2 linked regions of the Nothobranchius furzeri genome follow. The protein of the gene in region 2 purifies or fractionates together with the protein of the main gene of each other region. This does not show direct contact. Links are inferred from orthologs where the notes say so. Each region holds a gene or a part of one and is shown on either strand. Other genes may lie near its edges.

Evidence for each region. Proteins that work in one complex are often made in the same cells at the same time.
Region 1: the proteins of eapp (region 2) and prpf6 purify together in Homo sapiens (affinity purification with mass spectrometry; 3 studies listed by BioGRID and IntAct, with this or other methods). This does not show direct contact. The link is inferred for Nothobranchius furzeri from reciprocal best matches to the Homo sapiens genes EAPP and PRPF6.

The regions. Positions count from the first base shown.
Region 1 is NC_091755.1:59,889,531-59,893,826, reverse strand, and holds the start of prpf6 (pre-mRNA-processing factor 6), read right to left. Parts: upstream 2,813-4,296; 5' UTR 2,758-2,812; coding exon 2,579-2,757; intron 2,397-2,578; coding exon 2,234-2,396; intron 2,154-2,233; coding exon 2,035-2,153; intron 1,904-2,034; coding exon 1,825-1,903; intron 1,574-1,824; coding exon 1,397-1,573; intron 1,021-1,396; coding exon 907-1,020; intron 829-906; coding exon 734-828; intron 649-733; coding exon 492-648; intron 408-491; coding exon 245-407; intron 1-244. UniProt on the Homo sapiens protein: Involved in pre-mRNA splicing as component of the U4/U6-U5 tri-snRNP complex, one of the building blocks of the spliceosome.
Region 2 is NC_091758.1:7,749,928-7,753,939, forward strand, and holds the end of eapp (E2F-associated phosphoprotein), read right to left. Parts: intron 1,094-4,012; coding exon 817-1,093; 3' UTR 509-816; downstream 1-508. UniProt on the Homo sapiens protein: May play an important role in the fine-tuning of both major E2F1 activities, the regulation of the cell-cycle and the induction of apoptosis. Promotes S-phase entry, and inhibits p14(ARP) expression.

The DNA.
Region 1 (4,296 bases), on a different chromosome or scaffold from region 2:
AAACACAGCAGCCAAGTGTAACTCCGATAGCTTTGTGAGGGTGATTTCATGAGACAATCAACAGATTGAGACTGGCTTTGAATTTCAGCCCTGGAGAAATGAGTGTCGTCCTTTTCGCAGCAGAATCAAACTCATTCACACACGAGCTGCTGGGAAGGAACGTGAACCTCCGTTTATAACCACAAAGCAGTGAGAAGCTTCTGATGATAGTTGCAGACAGAGAAAGCAAAATTAAAAGCCTTACCCTTTCTGAGGACCCTCTTCTTAGCACGGATGTCTGTTTCGAGCTCAGCAGCCCTGATGTAGATGCGGACAGACTGTGGGAGGTGGCGAACAGCCTGAGCAACCACAGCTTTAGCCGTATCACCAGGTTGGAGCCTTGCTGCCTCTAGCCACACGTCCTCACTCTGGTTAAGAGAGAGATATTTTGTTATTGAAGGTTATCAGCATCTAGCCTTTGTGCATGGAACCAAAGCAGACACCCCTTTTACCTTAGGACACATCTCTGTGCCCTTCATGATCAAGTTCCTGGCGACCTGCAGCTTGCCCGTCACCTCTTCAAGCCTGGCAGAAGCAATCCAGGCCGGCGGGTGATGGGGATTAGTCTCTCTCACAGATTTCAACAGCAGGCGAGCCTTCTTGATGTCGCTGGGTGAGATTTAGGTGTAATTCATCAAACACACATAAGAAGTTATTTCAAAAGGAAATTTTCCTATGGGCAACTTTTCTATACCTGATGTCTCCTCCATAAGTGGGGATCATGGAGTTGAGATCTGTCAGGTAACCCTTAGGATCCACCACTGTCTGTCCACTGACTGAATCAGACACCTTAGTGGAGAGAAAAACAATAAAAACAGGTAAAATCTTGATAAATGTGAAAGAAGCTCAGGATTTAGATAGGTCTACCTGACTGAGCCTCATATCCATGAGAGTGTTTCTGGCTTGACCGATTTTCCTCATATCCAAGTCTCCAGTTCCAGGAGTCATGCTGCCTGGGTATGGTGTGTTCAGACCGCCCAGCTACCAAGACAGAAAGCAGGAATTGTGTTACAGCGTGTGTGAACAGCTAAAGAAAGCTGAATCCTTTCTCACAGCTATAACTGACACACGTAAAAGATGCTTTATATTCTGCAGAACTAAACATGGAGCCAGCTCTGTCTAAGTAAACACTGCTGTTTCCAGTTAAAGTATTTAAACATTGCATGCATGAAATCAAGTAGATAAATGAATAGTTTCAAGTTTAAACATGAGGTTGATGCTCTTAAGCAGATATTTACTGACAATATAATGCATGGCTGCACATCTCTGAACAGTTATTCTGACTCCTGCTGGGGCAAGGTGAAACTACAACAAATGTTCGGTGACCTGCTTGTAGTGTGTTTTCATGACTACTAACCCCTTGTAACGGATCAACAGATGTGTGGTTTTCTCCGGTCTGCAGGTGTTTAGAGAAGAAGCTGTCAGGGACCGGGGTGAGCTTCTCAAAGCGAGGATTCCTCTGTCGCTTGTTCCTGGCATCTCCAACTTCAGGGATGCTCAGCCACTCCTCCTCCGACACCTCTGCTAGTTTTCTCTGTAATTAAATGATAAAACAGAGATGCGTGTCTGATCCTAAGAGAGATTAATAATTGTAATTTCATGTGCCTTTGCATTACCATTTCACAAATGGCAAATAAGATCACAAATTTGTTTAAAAGCACAAAAACATGAATGCAAACAAATCAGTATGCAGAGTCAGCTGTTAACCTGCACAAAATGCATTAAAGATAGATACCTAAAAATAATGGCATCGTGAATACAATAGAATAAATGTGGAAAACTTACCTTCAGATCTGAGAACTGCTGTTGGATTTTAGGACGCTCCATACGATATTTTTCTATTTCTTCCTTTTCTCTCAGCTCCCTACGAGCAACCACAGACAGTATCAGAAACACATTAAATCAACACAGGGATGAAAAAGGGATGCTCTGTGCACTTATTTTGTAGGTGTTTGGTCTTTTTTGGTCAAGAGGTAGATTAGTTTTATAGTTTACCTTCTTTCTTTGCGCCGTTCATCCATTCTCTTGTCAAGTGCCGCATATATAGCATCTGCTTCTTCATCGTCCTTTTCATAAGGCCCACTGGAGAACAAGCTGCCAGCGTAACCATTAAACTGTACAAGGAGCAAACAGGAGTTATTGACTGGATGCACTGAAGTATTAAATGCCAACAAAAGCATTTAGTTATTGAGACCTCGTCATAGTTGGTGTCGTTTAGATCTTCGTCATCATCATCCTGATTCTTCTTCATCTGGTCACCAACCGTCCTCTTCCCTGGGGGAGCATGCCGATCATCCACGGGGTCGTTGGCATCCCGAGCAGGACCGATGTCGGACCGGGTGGTGAATCCTGTGGCACTGAAACCGCAACATAACCCTTAAGATCGGAGATTTGTCCTTTGTTGCAAACAGCACAAACCATTGTTATAATGTATTTAAAATGTTGTTTTATTTGACACTGCATGCAGAAGGTGGACAATTCAAGTTGTCAACAAACACGCAACTGGAGGAGCTAACGACTTAGCATCAAATTAGCTTACCCTCTGCCGAGACCAGGAACGTAACCTAGCGGAGCGGGCATCCCCAGAAACGGCTTCTTCTTTTTCCCCATAAGCGGAGAGGCAAGAGGTATTACAGGGGGCGCGCCACTCGCCCCTGTGCCCCCCGCGCTGGTTTTGGAGACAAGTTTAGGTGTTTGTTTTGCTCCAGAGGTAGCCATCGTTGCTGCAACGACGTGCACACTCACTAGCAGATGAACAACAGTTTAACTTCCGCTCTCGACTCCTTCCTTTTTCTTGTTTTCTGTTACAGCGCCCCCAACAGGACGGGCTGATTGATTGACCGCTAAAGTTTGCCACACGGGTGCGCCAAACTGTAGAAAATAAAATAAAAATACAATTAGATGGAATAAAGTTAAACTGAGTAAATAGTATTTATCTTTTAGGATATGCTACTCTAAACACCAAAACACAATTGTCTAAAATAGTACAATGAGGGAAAAATATATACTTATATACATGCATATATACAATGTTTATATACAACATAAACACACACACACACACACACACACACACACACACACACACACACACACACGTGATATTTATTTATACTCAATTTTAAGATATAAAAAGAAAAACTAGATAAATCATAGTATCTTCATCCATCCTAAATGAACCACCTCAAGTTGTGCAAAACTGAGAACGGTCATTTTTGACTGGCCTAATGCAGAATGCCTCATCAGTATCTGGTTCATTAAAAAAAAAAAAAAAAAAAAAAAAAAGAAAAGCTGTCTCACTCCTACGTTGGCAGTCCTGGGTTAGAGTTTGAAGTGGAGGTAGGGTAGAGTAAGATAAATACTCATACATACTGTTGTCATTTCCTCTCTAGTTTGTTTAGTAAAAAATTATTACCTAGACATTGTTTACAGAAACAACTAATGGACCTGCAGCCCTAATTAAGACAAGGATGACTCAGATGACATTTGATCCCACAGATAATTAGGTTGCCAAATTGAAAGAAATACATCATTTTTTATGCTGTTTGAAAATTGAATACAATATTTTCACTCCTTGCCTGTCTGACTGCACATATATTATATTGCTTGTAATGTACATAGTTTTAGGTCAAATGAGCCATGCATTTGTGATGATTTCCATTAATTCCCATTAGACACATGCCAACATGCTACATCAATAACTCATCTGACATTTCAGGTTCAGAAACCTACACTCAAACAGAGATGCCAGAGTGCAATAAGTAATTACATGCTAACATGACATTTTTGGGATCTATCTCATGAGATGATGTGAAACCATTCATCAATTAGTTTCAATCGCATTAACTTCAGCCGTCTTCACTCCTAGCCTGGGATCCAGCCTCTACATCTTTCTTCATTTACATCGCCTGAAGGGATGGTGTTATTTTACCCGTGGGAGAGGATGTTAGGGAAGAAAATTGACCGTCAGATGGATTAGATGCTAGGTGGTTCACATGTACAAGGACAGATTTAAATATGAAGCTTAATTCAAACTGCATTTCCTCCCATCAGTGTGTTTTATGTCCTTGTGAGTCTTTAAATGATGATTTTGTTTTGATTGAATAATTAGAACACAATAAAATGCACATTTATATATGACTAAAGGAAAGAGCCACATATCATGTGTGTGTTTATCTCAAAGCTGACCTACAGATAGCTGATCAAGGTCGATGTCAGGATGATAAATGGAAAGTCATTCCTGATACAGGCCAATAT
Region 2 (4,012 bases):
AAGACACTTAACCCACCTTGCCTGCTGGTGGTGGTCGGAGGGACCGGTGGGGCCAGTGCTTGGCTGCCTCGCCTGTCAGTGTGCCCCAGGGCAGCTGTGGCTACATCGTAGCTCACCACCATCAGTGTGTGAATGTGTGTGTGAATGGATGAATGATACACTGTAGTGTAAAGCGCTCTGGAGTCCTTACTCTGAGAGGCGCTATACAAGTGCGGGTCATTTATCATTTATTTACATGCGACTCCATCTTTGGTCATGAACCACGTCCCAGGTCTTTGGTTCAACTCCTTCGTTGTGACTGACCAGAGCTACACCTTCATCGCTGAAGACCCAGCCCTCACCAACTGGTCCATCTCTCCTCCATCCTACCATCACTCAGGAATGAGATCAACACACTCAAACTTCTCCACTTGAGTCAGAGACTCACCACCCTTCCAATTCAAGAGACTAGCAGCATCCGTGGTAATGACGTGGTGTTAAGGATAAAAGAAAACCAGAACAAAACCTGTGGTTTTCCCCTCCTTTGTCTATCCAAGTATTTTTATTTTAAATTAGGAATGACATGGGATGGTTTAAATGACTTGTTTGAGATCATTCAGATCAAAAGATTTAGTCCTCTTGGCCACAGCAGGAGTGTCCACCTCAACCAGGAAAACTAAAATAATACATGATGCAAGGTGAGAAGAGAACCCTCTGATGAGTGGTAGTGCAGCATCCCTCACCACTAGCTTCCTCTGAGCAGCACAAACTTCAGCGTTGAGAGGGAAACTGATGGCACAAATAAAAAAGTCTACAATACAGCACCCTCAGTCGACCTCAACAGTGGCTGGCAAGGATGTTAAAAAAATGGTAGACGTCATCTTTATCAATCACAGCCACTTCTGTGGAGCACTCAGAACATGTGACTGGGTGGTAAACCTCATCAGGGTCCGTGGAGCTGGTTGGTGCATCTGCAGGGGGTTCGACTTTCTGTCCTCTTTTCCGCTTTCTTTGCTTCCTCAGCTGCTTGGTTTTGTAGCGCAGCACCTCGTCTCGTTTCACCGTGCAGTTCATCACAAACATGGCTCGATACTGCGTCCGGTACTTCTCATGCCTGAGTGAACGCAACAAGAAGCTTCAGACCACACAAGGTGTGGATGTCACAAACGAGTTTTCAGTGAACAGACCATCAAGTTTTTCTAGTACATGAAAAAACGATGAGTGTGTGTTCTATCAACCAAATATCTAAACACTGGGCACATTTTAACGAAACTCAATGGTCGTCAGTGGATTTACAACTGATTAATGTATGAAATCAACCCGATTCAAGTTGGCCACCGTAGAACCAACTAGGGTTGTCACGGTGTGAAAATGTAACCTCATGGTCATTGTGACCAAAATTACCACGGTTTTCAGTATTATCGCAGTATTTTTTTTTAAACGTGTTACATTTTCACACAATTAAATAAACCCTGTATGTCAGGAAATATTGTCCTCAGTTTGTGTCTAAATTTTGTTTATTCTAGGGCTGTCGCTGTTGAGGAATTCCCCCTGCGGTGATTCAGGGTGGCTTAATATTGCGGTGTGCGATATTATTGCAGCACTTTTTTATTGCAGTACTATCTAAACATAATGTTTACACATTTAAAAAAGGTTAAAAATTGCCGTGCCTTCTTTTATAACACTTTACTGAATGCAGATCAAAGGGCAGTAACAACACAGATCGCAGTAACGTTTGTTTGTCCGACAGTCGGAGTCCGACTGAATTTAAAAACAACAAAATTCAGGAGAAGGTTAAACTTTTAAATGCAAATTTGGCTGCAGCATCTAACAAATAAGAAACAAGTCCCCATTTTGTTTAGTTGTTTAAAATCAAGCATAAAAAATTACATGTACCGGGCGCCGGGCACTATCATTTCACTTTCACACACACGAATGACGGTGATTTATAGCTCGGTCACGTCCTTGTTACCCACAAGGAAAACCAGCATGTTAACCGTATACGGTTTGAGAGAGGATCTGAGAGGGGTGGCAACATTTGCAGCAACACTGAAAACCCTCACGGATGGTGCGCTCGTTGCATTAACGCACACGTACTTGCGTGCGACTCTGGCGAGCAAAGGGAATCTCTCCCGGTTGTTGCTCCACCATCTCGGGGGGGTTTCTTTAGGGTGGATGCATTCCTCCTGCAGGTAGCGAGTGAGCTCCAGCTCGGCTCAAACTCTCTTCGGGACGGTTGCAGAAGCAGTGCTTGTCCGGGACTTCAGCAGGTCTCCGAGCGTTTATTTATTTATTTATTTGCCGCTGGTGGCAGCTCTGTCTTGGCCAAGGACTCTGGCTGCGCAGCAGCTGACGTACTGAAAACCAAAGTGCTCCCAAAGGAGCGAAGTAACGTTTCGTTTTGATACCAGTGCAGCCATCCTTCTCAACATGCATCATTGAGTTGAATCAAGTTCAGTAATCGCGGTGGCCCATGATGCAGCACGATGGGTTTCTTCATATTGCGATATTTCATTTTTGCGGTTACCGTGACAGCCCTAGTTTATTTGTTTACATTTTTCCCCTTTAGTCTTTAAAATACCAATATTTGCCCATAACTTCTTATTTTATGTCTGTTTGATGTCATCATTTAAAAATATTAGATCAGATGATACTCAGTACTCAAGTAGCCTTCTAATCAGATACTTTTTTACCCTTACTTGAGTAATAAACCCTATATCAGGAAAATATTGTCCTCGGTTTGTGTCCTTCCAGTGAGCTTTGCAGATGTGGGAAAATGTCATCAGGCAGTAATCATTGTTAAATTCATAATTATTCTCGGAGAGAGACCAACTCTTATCTGCCCCTGGGAGCCCCGTAATGCATAGCGTCATTTCAACATGGGGGTGTCCGCGACACGGTTTATATGCAGGTAGCGGCGCTGCGGCTGCTTTATATAGCGACTCGTTGCGTTCTACCTCAACCCAAATCCTCGGATCACGCACTTTAGCTAAAATGCTAACGTTAGCTTGCCTTGCGTTGGCTGTAGAGTTGTGGGTGATGGTCACGCAGATGTGTCATGAGATTTGAAGCGTTGCTGCCTTTCACAGACACTTTTTCTGCACGTGCTGCAAACAGGATAGCCGTCTTCTATCAGCTGTCTCTCGGCATTCTTCAAATATCCAAAAGATGCCCATACTTCCCACTTTGTCTTCTTTGAGGGATAATAAATGTCCTGAGCGCTGCCGTCTCCTCCTTTGACCATTATTTCAGCTTTAGCTTCAAGAAAGTTTTGGTTGTAAACAACAAAGTGCTCATGTGCCGCCGGCAACTTCAGCAGATGATACGGTGGCTGGTAAGGGTCACCGCGCCTACACCGCAGCCACGGTAATCCACCGAGATAATATATTTAAAAAAAACAAGACGGTTATGATTATTGTCCACCTTTTTACTGGGGTTTACCGCTACACCGGTTACCGTGGCAACCAGTGATGGTGCAGATGCTGAAAGTTAACCACATAACAAGTTTACCTTAGTCTGTTTAACAAACAGACTAGTAAACAAACCCTAGTAAACACTAGGGGTGAAAGAAACGATGGCTGATATAACCGCGTTCTGTGGGCCTGACACCACAGGAGGCATTCAACCAATCACAGTCGTGCTTACTCAGTTTGTGGAGGCAGGCCACGAGGAAACACTTTGCCGTTTTCTGAAATTCATTGGCTATTTGACGTATCGATCGACTATCACATGTGATGCAGTTGGTTTGCGCCACACGCGTGACAACGGGCGATTGTGTCACTCAAAAAGTTAGAAGCTAACGTTTGGATGCTAATGAGGATGATGAGACTCATCGGAGGGAAACGTTGCATGTTGTCTGCAGTCCTTGCTGCTGGGCTGAACACAGGACTTGCTGTGGACCAGGACATCTGGATGTAAACCATCTTTCTTGAAAATGGCTCTGTTCTGTTAATGCTGCAGCTTCGAACCAGTGAGTTAGACTGACTGATACGGTTGAACCCTCGATTGCCATACCTCATTGGAATCACGAGAC